Linked DNA regions of Sus scrofa. The protein of the gene in region 1 interacts with the protein of each later gene in a pairwise test. Links are inferred from orthologs where the notes say so. Each region holds a gene or a part of one and is shown in the gene's direction. Other genes may lie near its edges. The genes, in order: TMEM239 and CXCL16.

The links.
Region 2: the proteins of TMEM239 (region 1) and CXCL16 interact in a two-hybrid assay, tested with the Homo sapiens proteins (2 studies listed by BioGRID). The two-hybrid records come from large-scale screens. The link is inferred for Sus scrofa from reciprocal best matches to the Homo sapiens genes TMEM239 and CXCL16.

The regions. Positions count from the first base shown.
Region 1 is NC_010459.5:32,833,559-32,844,031, reverse strand, and holds TMEM239 (transmembrane protein 239), read left to right. Parts: upstream 1-4,942; coding exon 4,943-4,979; intron 4,980-5,098; coding exon 5,099-5,252; intron 5,253-5,343; coding exon 5,344-5,872; downstream 5,873-10,473. Other genes in the region: C17H20orf141 (uncharacterized protein C20orf141 homolog), read left to right, coding at 4,077-4,345, 4,430-4,670.
Region 2 is NC_010454.4:52,137,910-52,149,905, forward strand, and holds the start of CXCL16 (C-X-C motif chemokine 16 precursor), read left to right. Parts: upstream 1-8,295; coding exon 8,296-8,359; intron 8,360-8,658; coding exon 8,659-8,797; intron 8,798-9,081; coding exon 9,082-9,164; intron 9,165-11,037; coding exon 11,038-11,457; intron 11,458-11,996. UniProt on the Homo sapiens protein: Acts as a scavenger receptor on macrophages, which specifically binds to OxLDL (oxidized low density lipoprotein), suggesting that it may be involved in pathophysiology such as atherogenesis. Induces a strong chemotactic response. Induces calcium mobilization.

The DNA.
Region 1 (10,473 bases):
GGCTGCACTAGCTCGCAGGATCTCTCGAAAGAAATACGCGCTCCGGAATTAAGACCCACCCCCCAATTAAGAACGATCTTATAGACACGAGTCCCGGAGCTCCTCGAGGCATCTGGTCCACCCAATGCGCTCTGGGTAGAGAGCTCCCGAAAGGGAGTAACTGCGACAGAGCCCCCGCGTGTGCTGCCTTGGCGCGCCCCGCCTGGGCGCCACTGCCAGGTTCCGGGCACCAGGGGACGATTTAGAAAAACTCAAGGGGGCGCGCTGAAGCAGAGGGTCCCTGAAAGCGCCGGGCCGGGTCAGTGGCAGAAAGACGGTACTGCGGCTCCAGGCTTCGCGGAGGTAGGAGACCAGGAGAAGCTGTGATGGAGCTAGAACAGGGTCTGTAGAGGTCCTGAGGGCTGCTCCAGCTCCCGCCAAAACCCCATACGGGCTCCCCATATGCCCCTCTCCCCTCACCACTCTCTTTTGTACATCAACGTCTTCTAGATCTTTACTCCACCTGGGATCTTGTTAGAAATGCAGAATCGGGAGTTCCCGTCGTGGCGCAGTGGTTAACGAATCCGACTAGGAACCATGAGGTTGCGGGTTCGGTCCCTGCCCTTGCTCAGTGGGTTAACGATCCGGCGTTGCGGTGAGCTGTGGTGTAGGTTGCAGACGCGGCTCGGATCCCGCGTTGCTGTGGCTCTGGCGTAGGCCGGTGGCTGCAGCTCCGATTCAACCCCTAGCCTGGGAACTTCCATATGCCTCGGGAGCGGCCCAAGAAATAGCAACAACAACAACAACAACAACAAAAGACAAAAGACAAAAAAAAAAAAAAAAAAGAAATGCAGAATCGGAGTTCCCGTCGTGGCTCAGGGGTTAAAGAATCTGACTAGCATCCATAAGGACGCAGGTTCGATCCCTGGCCTTGCTCATTGGGTTAAGGATCCAGCGTTGCTGTGGTGTAGGCCAGCAGCGACTGCTCGGATTCGACCCCTAGCCTGGGAACCTCTATATGCCATGGGTGTGGCCCTAAAAAGCAAAATAAATTAATAAAATAATACAGAATCCTGGAGTTCCCTTCGTGGCTCAGTGGTTAATGAATCCGACTAGGAACCATGAGGTTGCGGGTTCCATCCCCGGCCTCACTCAGTGGGTTAAGGATTCAGAATTGCTGTGAACTGTGGAGTAGGTCGAAGACGCGGCTCGAATCTGGTGTTGCTGTGGCTCTGGCATAGGCCAGCGGCTACAGCTCCCATTCGACCCCTAGCCTGGGAACCTCCATATACCGTGGTCGTAGCCCCAGAAAAGGCAAAAAGAAAAAAAAAAAAAAGCCAGAATCCTGCACATACCTCCAGAACCAGAATCTGCATTTTGACAAGATCCGCAGAGGATTCAACCCCAGAAGATTCACCGTGCACATTAAAGGTCGAGATGCACTAGATGGAGGTTTAAAGCAGCTCCATCAAAAATGCATGAGCTTCACAGCTTTCTGAGTTTGATGGTGTTTGATGCTGTCACTGGAAATTTTATGTCAAGCCACAGAGTACACCTATGTAACATTAGGAAATTGCTATTTCATTCATCCTGGGAGAGTATATTCCTGATCTTCACCATAGGATCCTTTTGGGCTGCCCCACAGCATACAGAGTTCCCAAGCCAGGGATCAGATCAGAGCTGCAGTTGCGACCTTTGCAACTGATTTTCTTTGTAAACTAAATCATTTTTACCAAACTACCGCAGAAAATAATTTTAAAGGTAAATCACACTTAGGCTAGAAATAGAAGACTCTTTTCCATGCTTCTCTATTCCCAAGTCAACCACTTTTAGTTCTGTCTCTTACTTCTTGTATTTACCTTTATGTTTCTATCGCTATTTCTTGGATTTTTATGTTTGGATTTTATCGTGGATTTCCTGCTGTGGAATTAAGGATTTAGCTTTCCTACTACCCTTATCCCCAACACACACCAAAATACCCAGACTTATACTTTTTCCCTCTTACCATCCTCCCAAAATGAGCTAAATCACTGCAGTCAATATTCAGTGATTACACTATGACCATGTAAGTTTTATTGTTCAACTTTCTGTGTTTGCTGGAGTTAGCAATTACTTTGTTTTATCATTTTTGTTTGGTTTTCTAGGCTCCAATTGTTAATTCAATCCCAAAGCTTCCAATAGAACTGAACATTTATTTTACATCCGTCTAAAAATAGCAGATAATCAGCAGATGTCCTTCCTGGAACATCTATCTTTTGATTCCAGGCTAGGTTGCTTGCTTTGTTCATCTAGAAACACAGCTGACACCCCAAGCCTTTCTCATCATCGTTCTCCTGTATTTAACCTCACTTCTTAAAATTCTATATTGTCATCTTTCTTAGTTCAAGTCCTTATTTTTCTGAGGCACATCCTCCAGTAGCTTCCTTTAAAAAAAAAAAAATGTATACAAGGTCAAATTTTTAAGACCTTGTCTGGCTTAAAATGTCCTTATTCTACCCTCACACTTGATAGTCATTTAGACAGATATGTGTTACTAAGTTGGAATGTCGTGCTTTATTGCTTTGGGAAGAACCAGGAAAAGGCAATCAATGAATGGTCCCAAGGGCTGGTGGCATTGGCGCTATGGACTATTGAGCCCATTCCCACCAAAGGTGTCAAGGCCACCAGGCTTGAGTCTTTGTTCAGAACCCACTGGAGGCAGATGTGCACCTGGATTTTTTTTTTTTTTTGGTCTTTTTGTCTTTTTAGGGCAGCACTCCAAGCATATTGAGGTTCCCAGGATAGGGGTCTAATCAGAGCTATAGCTGCCGGCCTACACCACAGCCACAGCCACAGCAACGCCACATCCAAGCCGTGTCTGCAACCTACACCACAGCTCACAGCAATGCTGGATCCTTAACCCACTGAGCAAGGCCAGGGATCAAACCTGCAACCTCATGGTTCCTAGTTGGATTCATTAACCACTGAGCCACAACGGGAACTCCGAAGCTGGATTCTTCTCTGTCTCCTCCTCTCCTGGAGGTTGTATGGCCACTGTCCTCCTACCCCTGCCCCTATCAGTTTTCCTTCAAAGTATGATATGTAAACAGGAATTAAGCTCTCTCAGTGATGACCCATTTCCACTCTCACCTCTTAAGTCTCTAAACAGAGATGTGCTGGAACTTCTGTAACCATTTACGGATTCGCAGTGGAGAGTTTTCTTTTCCCGGTGACTGACCCCTTCATACATGTTCATGTTCCCTAATTTCATCCTCAGAAGGTAAACGTAATCTCCAGTTTGGGGATTATCAGGTTATGGCCCTCTTTCATTCACCTTCTCAGTGCCATTTCTGGAATCCCAGTATCCAGAACACCTCCCGCAAACCACAGTGCTTCAAACGTCTAAAGAGGCCCCTCCTGTCAACCCCACCCCACCCCCTCTGGCCCATTTACCAGGTCATATGGGAACCCTGCCCCAGAAAGCCTCAGGTTGCTTCCTGGCAGAGTCTATCTCTGCATTCCAGGACTGCAGTTCTGAAAAATCCCCCACAAGAGCCCACTGGCATCATCCTACTCTCTGGGGAGAGAGCTGGGGACAGACTGATTGAGTCACTTGCCCCTGGACACACAGCCCAGGAAGCTCATAAGGCAAAGAAAGCAGCCCTTCCTCCCTTGGAGAGCTGCCCATACAGTGATGGGGTTAGAATGTCTTCCCAGCAACACAGATCCCCACGGGAGGGCCCTAGAGTGGACGATTAGCAAAGGCAAGAGGATGAGTCTTTAGTTCTCCAAAGTCAGGCTTCCTCCTATCAAGCCACAGCAGCTACTTAGGAGGCCAGAGCCAGCAGCAGCCCCCTCCCTACCCCAGGGCCCCCCAGGCAATAAGTCACAATGCTCCGGCTACCCAGCCCCCCAGAATGGCTGACCCAAGTGGGAGGAGATGAGGAGGGTTTGGTGGGTGGGTGTGTGGGGAGGAGGAGATTCCCGAGAAGCCCAGCTCTCCACTGCTTGAGCTCACCCTTGAGTGTCCGCCAGGGCCCCCCATCGCCCTCCCCCATGGTCTCATCCCCCAGATTCCTACCCTTCCCCATTCCTTGCTGTAACTGCCAGCTCCCTCCATGACCCAGCTCTGCTCATCCAGGCCCAAGGGCCCTGCTTATTCTATCCCAGGCCTTCCCAGGGGCCTGGGTGCTGGGGAAGGATCGGGTAGCCCAGTGGGTCCATGTGTGTCTCCTGGGGGCCCTAGCCCAGCCCAGCTCCTGGACAGTGTCCTAGGGCTGGGGGCACTGGGGCTGACAATTTGGGCCGTCTTTTCCACAACTGGCCCAGCCTCACTGCTGCTGCTGCTGCTACTCGTCAGCTTCCTGGCCTTCGATCTGCTCCACCGGTAAGTGCACAGCAGCTTAGCAGGCGGGCAGGTGCACAAGTGGTCAACCTCCCAAAGCCCAGCTGCCACCCTTTCTCGCCACAGGCCTGCAGGTCCCACCTGGCCACAGCACACACATCCACGTCTCACAGGGGGCCAGAGTCAGGGCGCCGGCGAGGGTCCGGGACAAGTGGAGGCTCTACTCCTGCCCACGGTGGGCACAGGACAACTCGCCCTCCAGGAGGCTCTGCTGATGCTGCTCTTGGGCCTGGGGCTCCTCCTGGGAGCCCGTGGCATGCCCTTGACCCTGCTAGCCCTGGCTTTCTGTCTCCATCCTTGGGCTTGAGTGTCCTCCAGAAATACACTGGCCATGCTATTTCCTCAGGCCTTCTTTCCTCCACCCTGGGCTGGGCAGATGGAAGGATACTCTTTCTCCTCCAGCCTGAACCCCAGGGGAACCTCTGCTCCCACAATAGGGACAGTGGATACCTAGGTCTGAGTCCGAGGACATCGGCCAAAACCGAGATAAAGGACAAGGAGCCCAGAGGAGGATGTGGTAGCCATCTCAGAGCCCGTAGGTTGGGGTGGCTAGTCTGGCCTCCTGGGTGGTTCTAGAGAATGAGGGTCCAGAGAGAAAGACTTGCAAGAGAGCAGAGTGGGACTGGATATCAGCCAGCAGGGAAGGGATGAGGGGATCCGGAGAGGGCTTCCCACAAGGAAGCATGAGAAACTCCCCTGCCAGTCCAGAGAGTCCATGAGAGAGGCTCAGGTAAGGCTCATGCTCACACCCTCTCTTGGCTGGACCCCACCCCAGCCCGGGTCACAATGGGGCTCCTCTGGGGAGGGTGAGGGGAGTGAGAGTGGGAGCTCAACTCTGGCTGCCAGGCCGTCCTGGGCGCTGCAAGAAGCAACATGACTTAGGTGGCTCTGCCAGGAGGTAAGACCCAGGCCCCAGCTCCAAGCCCCACCCCACCCATGCTGGTACCCTCCTGACCCCTGCTACCACCCCCACCCACCCATCCTGAGGTCCCAGGCATCTCCAGGGCTGCTCCTGCAGCTGGCCTGGCCCTCTCCCCAGGTGCACCAGCCGTGATGCAGCAGCTGCGAGTGGAGACAGATGCCACCGGAGCCGGTGAGGGGCCACAGCGTGCTGTGCCCTGGACGGCCTGGCTCACACGGGACAGCTGGGTGCGCTGGTGCATGTGCCACATGCCCCCGAGCTGGGCCCAGTGGTGGATCACATCGGGCTGGCGGCAGCCGCTGCAGCGTGTGCTGTGGGGTCTGGAAGGGATCCTCTACCTGCTGCTGGCGCTGATGCTCTGCCATGCACTCTTCACCACCGGCTCCCACCTACTGAGCTCCCTGTGGCCCGTGGTGGCTGCAGCGTGGCGCCATCTGCTGCCGGCTGTCCTGCTGCTGGCGCTCAGTGCCCTCCCCGCCCTGCTCTTCATGGCCTCCTTCCTGCTGCTGTTCTCCACGCTGCTGAGCCTCGTGGGCCTCCTCACCTCCATGTCTCACCCAGGCCTTGCTCAGGACTTGGACCAATAGAAGGGCGACCCCATCCTGCTGCCTGTGTCTGTTGAGCCCTGGCCTAGGGCCCGAGGCCCAGGGGAGAGGGAGGGCAGTGGGACCAGGGCCTTCCTGCCTCGGCAGGCTCCAGACCTTCAGTCCCTAGCTGGGGCTGGTCAGGGCCTGCTGGCAGGGTAGGGGCATCTCTCTCAAGCTGATCCTCCAGGTACTTGGTATGGGGGGCCAGGGCATAGGGCAGAAGGCTGAGCTGGGAGCAGAGCTAGGCCAGGCCACCCAAAGCTCCCACGTGCATGTGGTGACACCCCTGGGACACCCTTAGCAGCTGGCAGCATCTTTTCCTTGCAGCTGCTCAACTGTCTCCGCTTCGAGCTCACAGAGAACATCTACCTGGGTGCCCCTGGACTTGTCATTCACCCCGCCAAGCCCGTCTTTCCCCTTCCCCAGGCTCTAGAAAGAGCCCAGTGACAGAAACTTGGCTGGGAGAGGGCCGGCCAGAAGCCACATGAGACCTCAGCCAAGCCTCCTCCCAGATTTTCTGCCCATCCATTCCCCACTCCCTAGACTTCCTACCTCCTGCCTCAGTCTACATCCTCAAGTCTGGGAAATGGGCCAACAAGGGTCATGAGGTTCCCAGAGAGCACCTACGGCTTAAGACTCCCTAGGTTTGCTAGGGAAAAACAAGTCCCATTTCACCCACCTACGCAATGTGTGGCCTTCGCCAATTAATTCTTTTGAGCCTTGGTATAAAGTGGGTCCTGTCATGGAGCTGTTGTGAGTCAAAGGCAATAATACCAATGTGTGAAGGACTTTGTATAAAGGCCAACAAGCCAGAAGATAAGAAACTCTAAAGAGCAGAAAGCTTCTCCAGGGCTTCAGAGAAATGTTCTGGCATAGATACAGTTTGGACCATACAATGGTAAACAGAGGATGGATGGGTGTGAACAAGAGGTAAAAGGTTGTGTGCCATGGGAGTTCCCATCATGGCTCAGTGGTTAACGAATCCGACTAGGAACCATGAGGTTGCGGGTTCAATCCCTGGCCTCACTCAGTGGGTTAAGGATCCGGCGTTGCCGTGAGCTGTGGTGTAGGTCACAGATGTGGCTCGGATCCCGAGTTGCTGTGGCTCTGGCGTAGGCTGATTAGACTCCTGATTAGGGTCTGATTAGACTCCTAGCCTGGGAACCTCCATATGCCTCGGGGGCAGCCCAAGAAATGGCAAAAAAAGACCAAAAAAACAAACAAAAAAAAAAGGTTGTATGCCATGAAGTCTCAAAATACGCCGATGTTGAACTCTTCTGATTGTGAAATGCTTGGGGCTGGGCCTTGGTGCCAGGAGATGCTTGCCCGGCTGTGTGAGTGGGAAAACCATAGCCCATGGGTTTCTAAACCAACCCCAAAAGCTGCTTCCAGCCCCCAAGAGGGCCTTGGAAAATGACATCCCTTCGTGCCCAGGATGCTGCCTGTTCACCCATCAGCTCACCCTCCAAACAAAACAGTAGGCGATGAGTTCTTACAAGTAAGGCACTTTATAGATAGCTAAGACCCACCACACCACAAACTGCAGCTACACTGTTACTCTCCCATTTGGAGGTGAGAAGTCAGCCACAAAATAGCAACTGGCAAGGGCAAGGCCAGGTTGTTTGAGTCCTAATTCACTCTAATGGGGAAAGCGATGGAGGAAATATAGCCTAACTGAAAACCTCAGGGCTTCTCAATGCCTGTTCTTAAAGTTTCTGTCAGCGATGAAGCCAGGATACCAGTCTTGAGTCCCTCATTGACTTGGCTGTACATTGCTGGCCATGGACATCACTCAGGAGCCTTGGGGTCATTCTGATTAAGAGAGGAGGTTTAAAGAGTTCCCCTCGTGGCTCAGCCATTAACACACCCAACTAGCATCCATGATGACTCGAGTTGGCTCTCTGGCTTTGCTCAGTCGGTTAAGGATCCGGCGTTGCTGTGACCTGTGGCGTAGGTCAAGGATGTGGCTCGGATTCCACGTTGCTGTGGCTGTGGCATAGGCCGGCGGCCTCAGCTCTCCACTTTGACCCCTAGCCTGGGAACCTCCATATGCAATGGGTACAGCCCTAAAAAAGCAAAAGAAAAGGTGGGGGGCAAGACCAGACACACTGGGGGTTCGGATTTTGGCAGGAGCAAGGAGAAGGCCTTCCTCTCTTCCCCACACACCTCCTGCATTGCTTGGTGTGGGGTAAGGTGGCACAGCCAGACTGGAGCCAGCAGACGGGTAATACTTACCGAATTAAATCAATGCATACCCTATGACCCAGAAGGCAAAAATGAATACTCACAGAGGCCCATAATGGCCTAACTCCTCAACGTATGGTCCCAGGATCAGGAATATAGACATCACCTGGAAACCGGCTAGCAATGAAGAGTCTCAGGCCCCATTCCAGACCTGATGAATCAGAGCCTGTGTTTTGACGAGACTCCCAGGTGACACAGGTGCACACTGTTGGAGAAGGGCTCCAGGTGAGAAGATGTTGCCACCTTTGAGAATGGTGACTGCAGGACATGGAAAAGTTAAAATACAGTGAATAAACACTTGGAGAAGAGGCAGCAGCTAGAAGGGGTGGAAGCCATCTGGACTGATCTTGAAAGTGTAGCGTTGAGAAGAAGCTGAATGAGAAATAATACAATTCTTTTTATGCAAATTTAAAATGCATGGCAGGGTTCCAGCTGTGGCATGGTGAGTTAAGGATCTGGCTTGTCTCTGCAGCAGCTCGGGTCACTGCTGAGGCGTGGTTTCCATCCCTGCCCAGCACTGTGCGTTAAGAATCCTGTGTTGCCACAACTGCGGTGTAAATCGCAGCCCAGCCGTGGCTCAGATTCCATCCCTGGCACAGGAATTTCCATACGCCAAGGGTGTGCCCCACCAAGAAAAAAAATGCATGCTAGCAAAACCAACTTTTTTTGTTTTAAGTAAGAACAAAAACAGAATGGAATGGCCAATTCCAGGGCCAGGCAAATGAGAGTGGAGCATACAGATTAAAGGGAATAGAGTGAGGGACCTTGCAGACACAAACATACGTATATATCATGAACATAATACCATTATGAAATGAAATATAGACAAAGTCATCCGTTTAGATTTAAAATGCTTTAAAATGTAAGCCTGGGGTGAATGAGCATGCTAGAATATAGTTCTAAGCATTTCTGTTTGGGCCAAGAAGGGAGAGCTGTCCCACTGGCCTGGTAACCTAGGCGGTTGGGTGGGTTTATTTGCCGGCCCTTCCCCTCCCGACCCGGAAGCTCACTCAGATGGGCTGGGGTAGGGGTGGGGATCAAGTAACCAGTGGGGCCTGGCCAGGAAAAGAATGCGATTAGGCGGAGCAGAAGAAACGCGCGGAGGAGGTGTCCAGCCGCCCAGGGCCTTGCATCTGAGAAAGCAGAGAGGGGATTCAGAGCCGCACCCCCGCATTCACGTTCCCTGGGGGCGCCTAGGAGCAGGAGCTCCCAGTAGGACTTTGCTCTGCCCACAAGGACCAGGGAGCAACGAGTAGGCGCCTTCGGGACGCGGAGGGTCTGGGAGGGCAGAGTCAAGAGGGCTCTTAAGGATGGGGCCTCCATTTGAGATGGAGTTGTCTGTGGCCACCCTGGAGGGCAGGAGAGGGGTCCCTGGAACGAGGCGGTGCTGCGCTGGGAAAACCGCTCAGGGCCAGCAAGGGGGAGCCGGGAGAGGGTGCTCCCATTCAGACCCGTGCTCAGCGGGGGTCGGGGGAGTGGGCGGCTCAGTCATTCGCTTCGGGGGAGGGGAGCCGCAGGCCTCAGAGGAGGGGGGCGGCGACTGGATCCTGGGGTCTGGGAAGGCGGAGGAGGCGGCCTGCGCTGCGCTGCGCTGCGCTGGGAGGTCGCCCCAGGAGCGGGACCCTGCGTAGTCCCCTAGGCTCAGGTGCCCGGGAGAGAAGTCGGGGCGACCACTGGAGAACGCCGAGCTGACGGGTAGACCGCGGAGGCAGAGCGGGGTGGGCAAGGATCTGGCGTGGGGAGGACACCCCGAGCCAGGCCAGGGATCGGAGGGCTGTGGGCACCCACACAGGGAAGGCGCTTGCCATCCTCGTCAACGACACCCTCCCTCCCCCACCCTTGGAATCGCAGCCTTAGGATTCTGTGCGAGGCGCTCCGTCCTGGCAGAGATCTCCAGCTCTGGTTAACCCAGTCGGACTCAGGGGTTGTGGGAAGGGAAAGATGCGGGGGACGGGTGTCTCAAGAGCCGAGACACCGGTAGTGGGGGAGAGGGTAGATCCTGGGGCCCTGGAGAAGCATCTCTGGCCCATTGTCTTTCCAGTGGAGACTTTACTGACTCCTCGATTTCTCCTTAACCCAAATCTCTAGACTGGGTCCCCCAGCCAGAAACCAAGAGGCATCGAGGCCAGAGCTCATGAGCATCCTGGAGAAGGGAGAGCCCAAACTAGCAGGCTTCACCTTCTGGGACTGCTGTCCTCACCCTAGTCTATTATTCCATTCTTCCTGGGGTAAAGAGCTGTCTTTTGTCTTTTGTGAGGTTCTATGAGGATCTGGAGGCAACCAACTTTGGACAAGCTATTTTCTTTATTCTTCCTTTTTTTTTTTTAGGCCTGGACCATGGTGAGTGGAAGTTCCCA
Region 2 (11,996 bases), on another chromosome or scaffold:
TGGAATAGCCTGGGTGTTGGGGATGTCTTACAGCCATCTGTGACTGTTTAATAGGGAGCTGTGGCTCCTGTATCAAGCCAAACATGTTCTTCCACCCTGCAGCATTTACTACCAAAGCTACTGCCCCTAAATTAGTTACTCTCACAATCCATTTTAGTAAAGTTTGTTCAGGAAGCTGATGATACCAATATACCAGATGAAGCAACTCGGGAGTTCCTCCTGTGGCTCAGCGGGTCACACATCCAGGGCTGTCTGAGCTTTGGCTCAGGCTCCATCCCTGGCACGGTGGGTTAAGGATCCTGTGTTGCAACAGTGGTGGCATAGGTCAAAGCCTGGCCTGGGAACTTCTACATGCCAAAGGTGCGACTGAAAAAGAGGGAAAAAAAAAAAAATGAAGCAACTCCTTCATAATTATATTCCCAGTTTCAGTAACAAAAAACCCCCAAGAGTCATTATGCCCAGCCCACGGTTATGGGGATTTTTTTTTTTTTTTTTTTTTTTTTTTTTTTTTTAGGGCAGCACCCATGGCATATGGAGGTTCCCAGGCTAGGGATCCAATCGGAGCTGTAGCCGCCGGCCTACACCACAGCAGTGCGGGATCCGAGCCACGTCTGTGACCTACAGACCTACAGCTCACAGCAACGCCGGATCCTTAACCCACTGAGCAAGGCCAGGGATCGAACCCCCAGCCTCATGGATACTCCGGTTCATTACCACTGAGCCACAACGGAACTCCCAGGGAGTGATATCTTGAATGTCTGTTTTAGAAGGGATACTCTGGCTGATGTGAGACAAGATATAGTGGAGTTTGCGATGGGACTGGGCATAGACTGATGGGGTCTCAGTGACCAGCAGCATCTGACTCAGCCGGCGTTGGTTCTTTATGCAAACTGAAGAACTGGAGAAGGTGGGGTCAAGGGTTTCTAACTTGGAAAGCTGAGTGTCTGGGGTCTGTCACTGAATCTAAACCGAGGCTTGGAGTTCCCATTGTGGCGCAGTGGAAACGAATCCGACTAGGAACCATGAGGTTGTGGGTTCGATTCCTGACCTCGCTCAGTAGGTTGAGGATCCGGCGTTGCCGTGAGCTGTGGCATAGGCTGGCAGCTACAGTTCCAATTTGACCTCTAGCCTGGGAACCTCCATATACCATGAGAGCAACCCTTAAAAAAAAATAATAATAAAATAAAATAAACTGAGGCTTGCCTCTGCTCCTAGGAGGTTATATGCCTCCCGGGAGTCCCAGGCCACTGAGAAGCCACTTTCTATTTCTAGGTCTTTCTTTGCCTTGGATCTAGTCCCTGAGGGGTTACTGGTTGGGAAAATGACTTATCAACACCCGCATTAGAAGACGTTTAAGATTACCAAGGAGGAGCAGAATACCCAGTAAGAGAGGGCACCGCCATCAAGGAACTGAAAAAAGCTGGAGGAAAACGTCAGTCTTCAATTCGCTTCTCCTCTCCCCTTTTAAGGACCTAATTATGAGCGTTTGACTCGATGGTTTCAAACAGGTAATTTTATTCACCTTTTCGTGTTCCGCCAACCGGCCTCCCCCCTCGGTCTCGCATGTTTCGTGTTCCTCTCTGAGGCGTGTAGGGGGAGGCGGTGCACTGCTACCTCTCAGCCCTCACCGCCGCCGGCGGGACCCCCGCCCAGGTTTCTTTTCTCCCCGGCGCCTTCGGGCGGGGGCGGGAGGAGCAGCCGGAGTCGGGGCGGGGGGCGCCGGTACCGGCGCCGAGCGGGTGCCGCCGCCCTGCGGAGGCTTGTAGACCAGGTGGAAGATGAAGGCGTTGCAGTACCTGGCGGGGGGCGGGGGGGCGTGGCGCCTTCAGGGGCGGGGCCATGGGCGGGGTTTCCCGAGGGGCGGGGGGCGTGGCCCCCTGGGAGTTCCAGGGGTGGTGGGACGAGACTGCGGGCTCCACCCGCCCGAGGGTGGGTGGCAGGGCCCTTTTAAACGGGTGGGCGAGGAGAGATTGTGTGAGCCGGCTCTAAAGAGAGGTGTAGGGGCGTTGTCGAGGCCCGCCAGTGCGCTGGCTGGGAGTGCGAGCCGAGAAGGCACAGGGGTGGGGCTGGAGCCAGGAGGGTCCCAGACAACCAGGCAGAGGGGGGCCTTTTAAGACGCAGAGCCAGGGAGTGAGAAGGCCTCACCAGGGCATGCAGTTGTCGGCTGCTCTGAGGCGAAAGGGAGAGCGGAAAGGGTTGGGCTGCGGAGGGCTGGTACCCCCGCCTGTAGCCACCGCCATGGTCTGGTCGTCCATCACACAGCCGTACTCGCTGCTCTCGGTGAAGAAGGCCGGCACTCGGAGGGACTGGGGCGGGGGGGGGGGGCGAGGCCTCACACTCTCGGAAAGGCCCCCACCCCCTCAAATCTCCCAAGCACCAAGGACGGCAGCCCGGGTTGACAACTGCGGACCCAGACAGACTGGGAGAGGCACGAGGCAGATACGTAGAGGGGCAGGAGGACCCATGGGCTCGCCCCAGGTCTGTGGAGCGGATGATGGGGAAGAAGAGAATTTTTTAGAAGAGACTTTGGTCCCATCCCCCACCTGCAACCGGGGCAGCGAGCTCAGCCAAGTGTCCTTTAGACCAAAGCCGGAGTTAAATCCTGCGGACAGAGGGGGAGCAGGGAGAAGCTGGCTCCCATGGCCCCCTTCTCCCATCTTCCCCACCCTCCGGCCCCAGGCTCTTACCGATAACCAAGTCGGGTTTGGGCCCCTGCAGCAGGTGGTAGGGCCGCGAAGACACCTTGATCTGCAGGTCCCTGCGGCCGCCCTTCTCCCTCATCCCAGAGCTGAGCCGTGCTGATACCCCGGAACTGGGACGGACAGATCCTTCGGGGCCATCCTGGGGAGTTAGAAGTGGGTGCAGAAGCCAGTGGAAGTGAGGGTGCATCAGGTAAGATGGGGGAGAGGAGGCAGGGATCGGAAGGCCAGGGCCGGGTCAGAGGGCAGCAGGAGCGTCAGGGCTGAAGAGCAGGGCCCCCCTCCGCCCTCACCCTCTGCAGGGTAAAATGCTGCTGGTCACTCTCGGGGGGCAGGCCGTCACCCACAAACTGCAGCTCCAGAGCCACGTGGGGGAGCAAGACCAAGAGCTCCTGAGGGACAGAGAGAACAGATTTGGGTCCCAGCCTGCACCCACCTCCACACCCCACATGCCCAACCTTAAGGCCTGGAGGGACTTACCCAAAATACCATGACAAGGTCAAACTCCTTCCCGGCCTCCACCACATGGATTTTCAGTGACTGTTTGTTCTGGATGTTGAGCTCAGGGACTGGGTGATAAGCTCACCATCTAAGAATGTGGTCTCCCTCCCACCCCACCCCGACCGACCCCTACCAACTCCCTGCCCCCTCCCCCCACGGCCTGCATAGCTCCCCCTGCCCCCCCTCCTTACAGGACTGGGGCACCAAGTGGGTGATGACGTAGTACACAGTCAGCGGGTAGGTGAGAAGCACAGCCATGGGGGAGTCCAAGCCGAGGCCCCGCCATGTGTAGTAAGCCTGCCATGAGCCTGGGGAGAGTCTGTTACCAGGGACCTGGTCCCAGGCTTGATCCCCAACCCTTCCAGTCCAATAGTCTATTTCCTCAGCCACCCAGATGGCTGGCCTTCCAGTCCCTGTCCCTACCCCTGGCTCCCTCAGGGCCCCTCCAGCTCACCAAAGAGGCTCCTGGGTGGATCTAGGGGCACAGGAGGCATCAGGGCAGGCCCATCCCCCTGCAGAAGCTGGTAGGGATCTCCTGAGAGAATTAAAGAAGATGAGCCTGGCCTCAGGGAGCTCCCCACTCGGCCTCTCCTTCTTCCAAAGGAACTGTGTTCCCTGAGAGCCAGAGGGCCTGGATTGGCAGCAGGAGGAATGGGAAGCTGCCTCGGGATGGGGCTTCTGCATGCAGTGGGCCAGGGTGACTTTTTTGAGGGTTGGGGAAAGGCCCAAAGTGCCCGGTGCTGACGGTGGGTGGAGTTGGGTGTGTCTGCGGCGGGGTTTTCTAGGCCCCGACACCTTTGTGGGCTCCCATCCTTCCCTGTAGACAGAGGGGCCCCACGCACCGCTGAGAAGAAGGCTGAGGGATGGCGTGGTGCCACGGGGCTGTCTGGGGGTGCCAGGGCCTAGAATCAGCATGCTGAGTTGGGTCCAGTAGCCACGAGTGAGGCCCCGGGAGGCCAGGAAGGCCTCCTTGTTAAAGGTTTCACTGGTCACCTCTGGAGAAGGACGTGGGGAAGGGATGAGAGCACAGTGGCCAGGATTCCAGACTTGAACTCTCCCCAGTTGCTCCCCAGGACCCTAGGTCTGAGCCTGGTTCTGGGCAGGAAGAGAACTAACATTTCTGAGTATCTCCAGTGTAGCAGGCATGGAGCCCACAGAATCCTTAAAACAATTCCATGGATTTTAACATTTGTTTAACATCTCCCCATTTTACAGATGAGGAAACTGAGGTTCTAAGCCATTAAGGGATTTAAAGTCATCAGTTAGTGGTAGAGCAGGGAAACAAGTATTTGAATCCCCACTCCTGAATTCCCGAAGCTTTCTCAGGGACCATGGGCACTCGGGCTTCAGCTCCAGAGTTGCTGTCTCTAGCCCCAGGTGTCTAGCCCCCAGCCCCAAATAACCAGTGCCTAGCTGGGATCTATACTCCAGCCCCCCGGCACTTGGCCTTCAAGCCTAGCTTTCAAACCCAAGGCCCCAGGTCCAAAGACCTGGTCCCACTTCCCCCCGCCCATTCTGACCTCCTTATGGTACCTGCAGTGTAGGTAAAAGGTAGAGCTGCCAGTTCTCCAGCCCGCTCCATGAAGGCTGCAAGCCTTGGGCACCAAAATTGATGGCTCACATCATCTGGGCATCGCTTCCAATCCGCCCGGAGACAAGCCTCTCCACAGTATAAGACAGCACCACACTGGGGGCTGGGGTCACAGGGGGCAGTGGACACCCAATATTAGTCCTAGCAGGTCCCCTGTCTGCCATCCATCTGTCCTGCAGCTGTCTGTATGTCACTCAGTCTGTTCATACTCTCTGCGCCTATAATAGCTTGGGTTTTTGTTTGTTTCTTTGTTGGCCATCCTGCAGCATATGGAGCTCCCCAGCCAGCTGTAGCAATGCTGGATCCTTAACCCACTGTGCCGAGCTGGGAATGGAACCTGCGCCTCAGCGCTTCAGGGACGCCCCCGAACCCCTTGCACCACAGCGGGAACTCCCTGGGGTGTTTTTTTTTTTTTTTCATCACTGTGCTTCCCTGTCCCTAGCTCTGTCTTCCTCAGGGTCACCCACCAGCAGCCTGCTTCCTCTCTGTTTGCCTGACTGTTGGGGTCTTCCTCCCACTCACTCCATCTTTTTTTTTTTTTTTTGTCTTTTTGCCTTTTCTAGGGCTGCTTCCGCGGCATATGGAGATTTCCAGGGTCGAATCGGAGCCGTAGCCACCGGCCTACGCCAGAGCCACAGCAACGCGGGAGCCGAGCCGTGTCTGCAGCCTACACCACAGCTCACAGCAACACCAGATCCTTAACCCACTGAGCAAGGCCAGGGATGGAACCCGCAACCTCATGGTTCCTAGTCGGATTAGTTAACCCCTGTGCCACAACGGGAACTCCCCTCTCACTCCATCTTTGCAGGCCGCTCACCAGGGTGTCAGCTTCACTTCAAAGCTGTGCCTGTGACAAACGTGGCAGGTCCGAGCCCGAAGGGAGGCAAAGGTGAAGCCTGGCCGGGGACCCCATGTCCTCATTGGGGTCTTGGCTAACTTCACTCCCAGTCTGGGGACCAGATTCTCCAGCTCTCTGATGGGGAGTGGAGATGGAGTCAGGCAGGGGAGCTTAGGAGCCCGGGCCCCTAGGCCCTCCCCACCCTCCACCAGATATCTGTACCGATGCAGCCGGGCATCTCCCACGGTAAGCTGTCGGGGCCTTCGGGGGTCTCCAGAGCCCATGGGACAGGCCATGCTGTGGCAGAGGAGAGCATAGGCCCGAGGAGCCAGGTTCTCAGTCCCTGAGCCCCTGCCTGCAGTCCCCTGGGCTCCATCCATTAGCAGGTCAATGCCTAAGATGGTGCCGTGTTCATCTGTCACCAGTAGGAGGCAGGAAAGGTGCAGGGGGGCAGCCTCTGGGGAAGAAGGGAAGAGCCAGGGGCGGGTGGCAGCAGAGACGGTCAGGGCCAGGCACCCTGAGGGAGGGGACTAGGAGGAGAGGGCATGCTTCATCGGAAGGGGACAGATGCTGCGCAGCACCAGCATTTGCTGCCGGGGAATCGTGGTCCTGCTGATGGAACCTTAAATTTGTCTCGAGACTGTGTAACTAACTATAGATAAACTTCTGCAGCTTTTTTTTCTTTTGATGTTTACATAGTAGCCCAAATTAAAAGACAAAAAATCATTGTGGATCAATGGAAACACCTTTTCAGGCCAGACTGGCCTGAGGGCCACCCGTTGGTGACTCCTAGCTGGATTCTGAGGGGCACAGGAGGGCTCAGAAGGGGGGTAGGCCTGGGCAGGGAGCAGGGTAGGGCCACCCCTGGAGTCTTACCACTTCTCCGTCCCTTCCTCCTCTCAGGTTCGTCCTTTGCCCTGTCCTCTTGGCAGCCGTCCTCGCCACCTCCTGCCTCCTGCTTGGCCTCCTCCGGCTCCCCTGGAGGGTGTGCTTCCTGCGGGGACTGCCTGCTGGGAGGGGCTGCCTCCCCAGCCTCCTCTGTTTCTACCTTCTTGGTACCTGCACCCTCCTCCTCTCCGTTCTCTTCCTCCTCCTCCTCCCCTTCCTCCCCTTCCTCCAGGCTGACAAAACTGACATAGGGGCTTAGGTCTCGCAGGTGGAGTGGGGGCTCGTCTCCCAGGAGCCGGGCAGCCCCCAAGCCTGATCCTGGGCCGGCTCTGCCCCTTGCCCCAGGCTGATGCCCACACTGCGGTTGGGTAAGACGTGGAGCACCCAAAGGGCAGGGTCCTGGGGCAGCCTTCTGATCTGAGCCTCCAGCTGCTGCCAGCGGCCCTCGGGGCTGGTCCCCACAGCCCCACGCTCCGCCATGAACTTGTGGAACCAGCCAAAGAGAAGGGCAGCGAAATCAAGGAACTCATCACGGTATCCAGACACAAACTCCATGTCTTCAGGGGCACAGGACCTGGGCCCAGGCTGAGCAGAGGAATGGATATATGGTGAGGGAGAGGTATGGGGGAGAGTTTGGGGCTGGGTCTCAACAGGGGGGAGGGTGTGGGTTTAAGGGTCCCTTGCGGTGGAATCTGTGGGTGAGTGTTGGGATGGAGAATGGAGTTTTCAGGGCTGAGGATGGGAGTTCAGGATGAAAATGGGGGCCAGACGTGAAAGCGGGTGATGAGGGTTAAGGCTGAGTCGTCAGGAGGGAGATGGTATTTGAGGCTCAAATCCTCAAAGGTAGGGTTTGAGATGAGGCTAGAGGGAAGGGAAGGCCAATCCTATGGCAAAGGCTTTGGTGAGGGAAGAATTTTGGATCCGTCGATGGGTTTGGGAGGAGGGAGCAGGAGCCCGGGCTTCCCTTCGACTTGGAGCGGTTTGGCGGTGCGCCCCGGTACACGTAGCCCCTCCCGGCCGCTCCACTACTCCGGTACCTGCAGCCGCCACCTCTTTTCGAAGGTAAATACCTCGGGTTGGGGCGTGACGTCAGGGCGCCCGAGCCCCCAGCCCAGTCCTCGGGTGGCACGCCCCCTGCACCCTCGCGGCTCGGAGGCCGCCCCCAATGTGTCTTAAGGGACTGGGCGCGCGGACTGGCCTGCTGCCATCACGCCGGCGGTGTGATTGGATCCCGGCGCACCCAGACCCGGGCTGGGAAAGTGAGAGCCTCTCATCGCGGGGAGGGCGGGCTGGCGGGGCTGGCATTCCGGGACCGAACCGGATCAGCCCAGCGGGCACTGGCCGGGCAGCCTGGGCTTTTCTTTCGCTTTCTTTCGCCTTCGTGCATTCCTGGCTGCCCCTCGACGAGACTGGGCTGGGCGCGGGGGCGCGGGGGCGCGGGGGCGCGGGGGCGCGGGGGCGCGGGGGCGCGGGGGCGCGGGGGCGCGGGGGCGGGGCGCGGGGGCGCGGGGGCGCGGGGGCGCGGGCGGACGAGCTCCGCCTCCCGGAGTTTCCCCGCCGCCCAGGCTGGCGATCACGCGACTTCGACGGTACTGTCCGTTCGAGGCCCCGGGGGCGCCGGTGAGGGCGCCGGGAGGGAGGCGCGGCCGTTTCGCGCGCCGCCTTCGCCGATGGTCAGGCGGAGCGGGAGAAGGAAACGAAAGCTCCTGAGAAAGCAGCTGGACGCCAGGCTCCCGAGCTCGTCTGGGTGTCAGCCCGGGCGAGGCCGCCGGGAGAAGATGCCGCTCTGGGAACTCTGGTTCTTCTTGCTCGCACTCTTTCTAGCGTGGCTGACTCCACCAGGTTCGGGGAGGCCCCGGCTGGTGCCCAGATCCCCAAATCCCGGGAAAGGGGTGGGGAGCACTGGGTCCACGGGGTTGGGTTGAAGAAGCGGGGAGCCAGGGTCCCCAAGGACCAGCTGCTTGGGGTTGGGGAACAGGCTGGGGAACACCTGGGTCCAGGTGTGATTGCGGACGTACTTGCGGAGTGTGGTGTGTGGGTTGAACCTGGGGGCAGATCCTGAGGTCTAGGCGAGAGGCTGCACTGGGGCTCTGGGTTGGAGGCTGAGTCCAACCTGTGCTGACCGCCTCGTTCCCACTCAGGCAATGGCAACGAAGGCAGCATGGCTGGAAGTTGTCCTTGCAATAGAAGGATTTCTTCCCACTCCCCTCCGACCGATCACGACATGAGACATCTCCGGAAATACCTGAACCACTATCAACACTGTACTTCCTACGTCAGGTAATCTCACCCCCGGCGGGAAGGGCAGTGCCTCCCGGGGTCTCCAGGACCCTCTGTGGTCAAACTCGAACTCCTTCTGGGAGGAGCTCTGGCCCTCTCTCGGGGTTATCTTTGCCCTAATTCTCCACACCTTCGTTTCCCTGAATTCCCACCTGGAATGTCCGAGTCCCAGCAGAAACTGCCGAATCTTGGCAATGACCTCACTTCTTTGGAACGAGGAAAGAGCTGGGAAAGGGGTAGGAGGTGGAGAGGGGAGACCGCTGAGACTGAGTCCTTCCTCGCAGGTTCCAGCTACCCCGTGGGAGTGTATGTGGAGGCAGCAGTGACCAGTGGGTGCTGAAACTGATGGGCTGCTTTGATCGCGGAGGTGAGTCCCCTGCCCTCCACCAGGGGTCAGCAAGCTGGAATGCACTTTTTTTTTTTTTTTTTTTTTTGCCTCAGCCCTTAGTCACCTCACATTCCTATTCTGTGTACTTGCTTCTTCTTCTTCTTCTTCTTCTTTTTTTTTTTGCTTTTTAGGGCCGCACTCGCGGGATATGGAGGTTCCCAGGCTAGGGGTGGAATGGGAGCTACAGCTGCCAGCCTACACCACAGCCACCGCAATGCCCGAATCTTTTTTTTTTTTTTTTTTTTTTGTCTTTTTGTCTTTTTGCTATTTCTTTGGGCCGCTCCCACGGCATATGGAGGTTCCCAGGCTAGGGGTCGAATCGGAGCTGTAGCCACTGGCCTACGCCAGAGCCACAGCAATGCTGGATCCGAGCCGTGTCTGCAACCTACACCACAGCTCACGGTAACGCCGGATCGTTAACCCACTGAGCAAGGGCAGGGATGTTCCTAGTCAGATTCGTTAACCACTGTGCCACGACGGGAACTCCCGCAATGCCCGAATCTTAACCCACTGAGAGGGCCAGGATCGAACGAGTCCTCATGTATACTAGTTGAGTTCGTTACCACTGAGCTACAGTGGCAACTCCAAAGCAAATATATTTTATGGCATTTAAGTTCATGGCATTTTAACTCTATTTGCTTTATTGCACACCCATCTGTCTGTCCCCCTCCATCCCTCATCAGTCCAGCTACTATATTTTGGGCATTACCAAGCAAGTTGCAGGCTTGACTACACTTTATTCTGTGACATTTTGTCATGTATATTATTAAGAGTGTTTTATATTTTGTTGCTCCTTTTTTTTTCTTTTGAGGTAAAAATTGCAATGAAATGAGTAAATCTTAGGTGTACACAGCCACTTTTTTTTTTTTTTTTTTTTTGGCTGTGCCCATGACACATAGAAGTTCTGAAGCCAGGGATCAAACCCATGCCACAACAGCAGCCTGAGCCACAGCAGTGACAATGCCAGATCCTTAATCTGCCGTGCTACAGGAGAACTCCTGCACAGCCACTTTTGAAAAACTTAATGTCAGCTTGTCCTAAGCAAAAGCATTTGTGAAGTCACAAATTTCATATGTTGGTTGTATTTTTCTCCTAAAATAAATACACAAGCAGTAAAACACAACATGTCCTTCCATGGAGTTCCCATTGTGGCTCAGTGGTAACGAACCGGACTAGTATCCATGAGGAGGCAGAACTGATCCTTGGCCTCGCTCAGGGGGTTAAGGATTTGGCATTGCTGTGAGCTGCGGTGTAGATCATAGATGAGGCTTGGATCGGGTGTTGCTGTGGCTGTGGTGTAGGCTGTCAGCTGCAGCTCTGATTTGACCCCTAGCCTGCGAACCTCCATGTGCCATGGTGTGGCCCTAAAAAGACCAAAACAAAACAAAACAAAACAAAAAAAAACACAAAAGGTACTTCCAGGTCCCAGCTAAAGCTGTCTTCTGTAGTGTTGGTGGTCCCCATACTGCCTTTTGGCTGTGTAGACTCATTATTTCCTTTACTCTTCCTGGCTACTCTGGCCCTTGGTACTAAAATGATCCTTACTTTACAGCTGAAAGAAATGAATCCCAGACAGGTTCAGAGACAAGGGGCAGAGCCACAGCTACCTTGTAGCAGAGCCTGGGTTCCAGCTCAGATCTCCTGACTTCCCGGTTCAGAATGCACACTCGCCCCAGTGGTTCCACATTGTGGTTTGCTTACTTCCTTCTCCCTGTTCTCCCTCTGCCCCTGCCTTCCTTTTCTGGCCTTTACCTGTTCCCTTGATGGTCCCCTTGACCCGCTCCCCTCCCTCCTACCTACTTCTACACCTTGTCTCCTCATCGTCTTGATTCCTTGCTTCTTGCCTCTACAGAATGTGGACGTGCTCATGCCAGAACGGTGGCCCACCAGCAGCATTTAGCTCCTCAGAACACCCGGGTTCCTGAACTCCCAGAAAGGGCACCTCCAGACAGTAGCACCCCTGCCCAGACGAATCTGCCATCTACCCTGCAGCCGACCCAGAAGCCCACGCTTCCAGAAGGCATGCCATCCTTGGCCAAAAAGCTCATCCCCACCAGTGAAACCGACACATCCACTGTGGGCCACAGTCTGGGGGCTAAGTCTGAGGCCAGGGAGAACCAGGAGCAGCTAGGAAAAAATGTGGGTGCTACAGCGGGAACATCAGCCCTGGTGCCAGTGCTGTCCCTCTTGGTCATCATTTTCCTTCTCACCGGAGTCCTACTTTACGTGATGTGCAAGAAGAGGCAGGAGCAGTCACGTCAGTACCCTCCAGGTAAACTGGGCCTCTCATCCCTCCTCCAGGGACCCAGAGCCCTCCTGGCAAGGATCCTGTCCTTGGTAGCTCCAGGCAGACAAACATGGAGGGTGTCTGCACCGTGGATGAAAGGCCAGGGAGGGAAGAGTCAGCCAGACCGCGGATGGGGAGGGAGGGAAGCCACCATAGCCTCAGGGACCAGTGCTTGGCCTTCAGAGCCAGGCTGTGCTTAGAGCAACATCAGGAGGGCAGCTGGGGGTGCTCCTTGGTGGCCTAGCAGTTAAAGGATTTGGCGTTGTTACCACCATGGCGTGGGTTCAGTTCCTGGCCTGGGAACTTCTGCATGCTGCGACTGTGGCCAAAAAAACCCAACCAACCAAAAAAAAAAAAAAACAGATGGCAGCTGGGGCAGCCTAGTGGGAGATGAAGCTGTGGAGGAGTGGAGGAGCCATTTATTCAACTCATAAGTCTTTACTGAGCACCTACTGTGTACCTGGTCATATAGTTAATGTTTTGGAATCTGATTGCCCAGTTCAGCTATCACCTCCGCTCCCTCC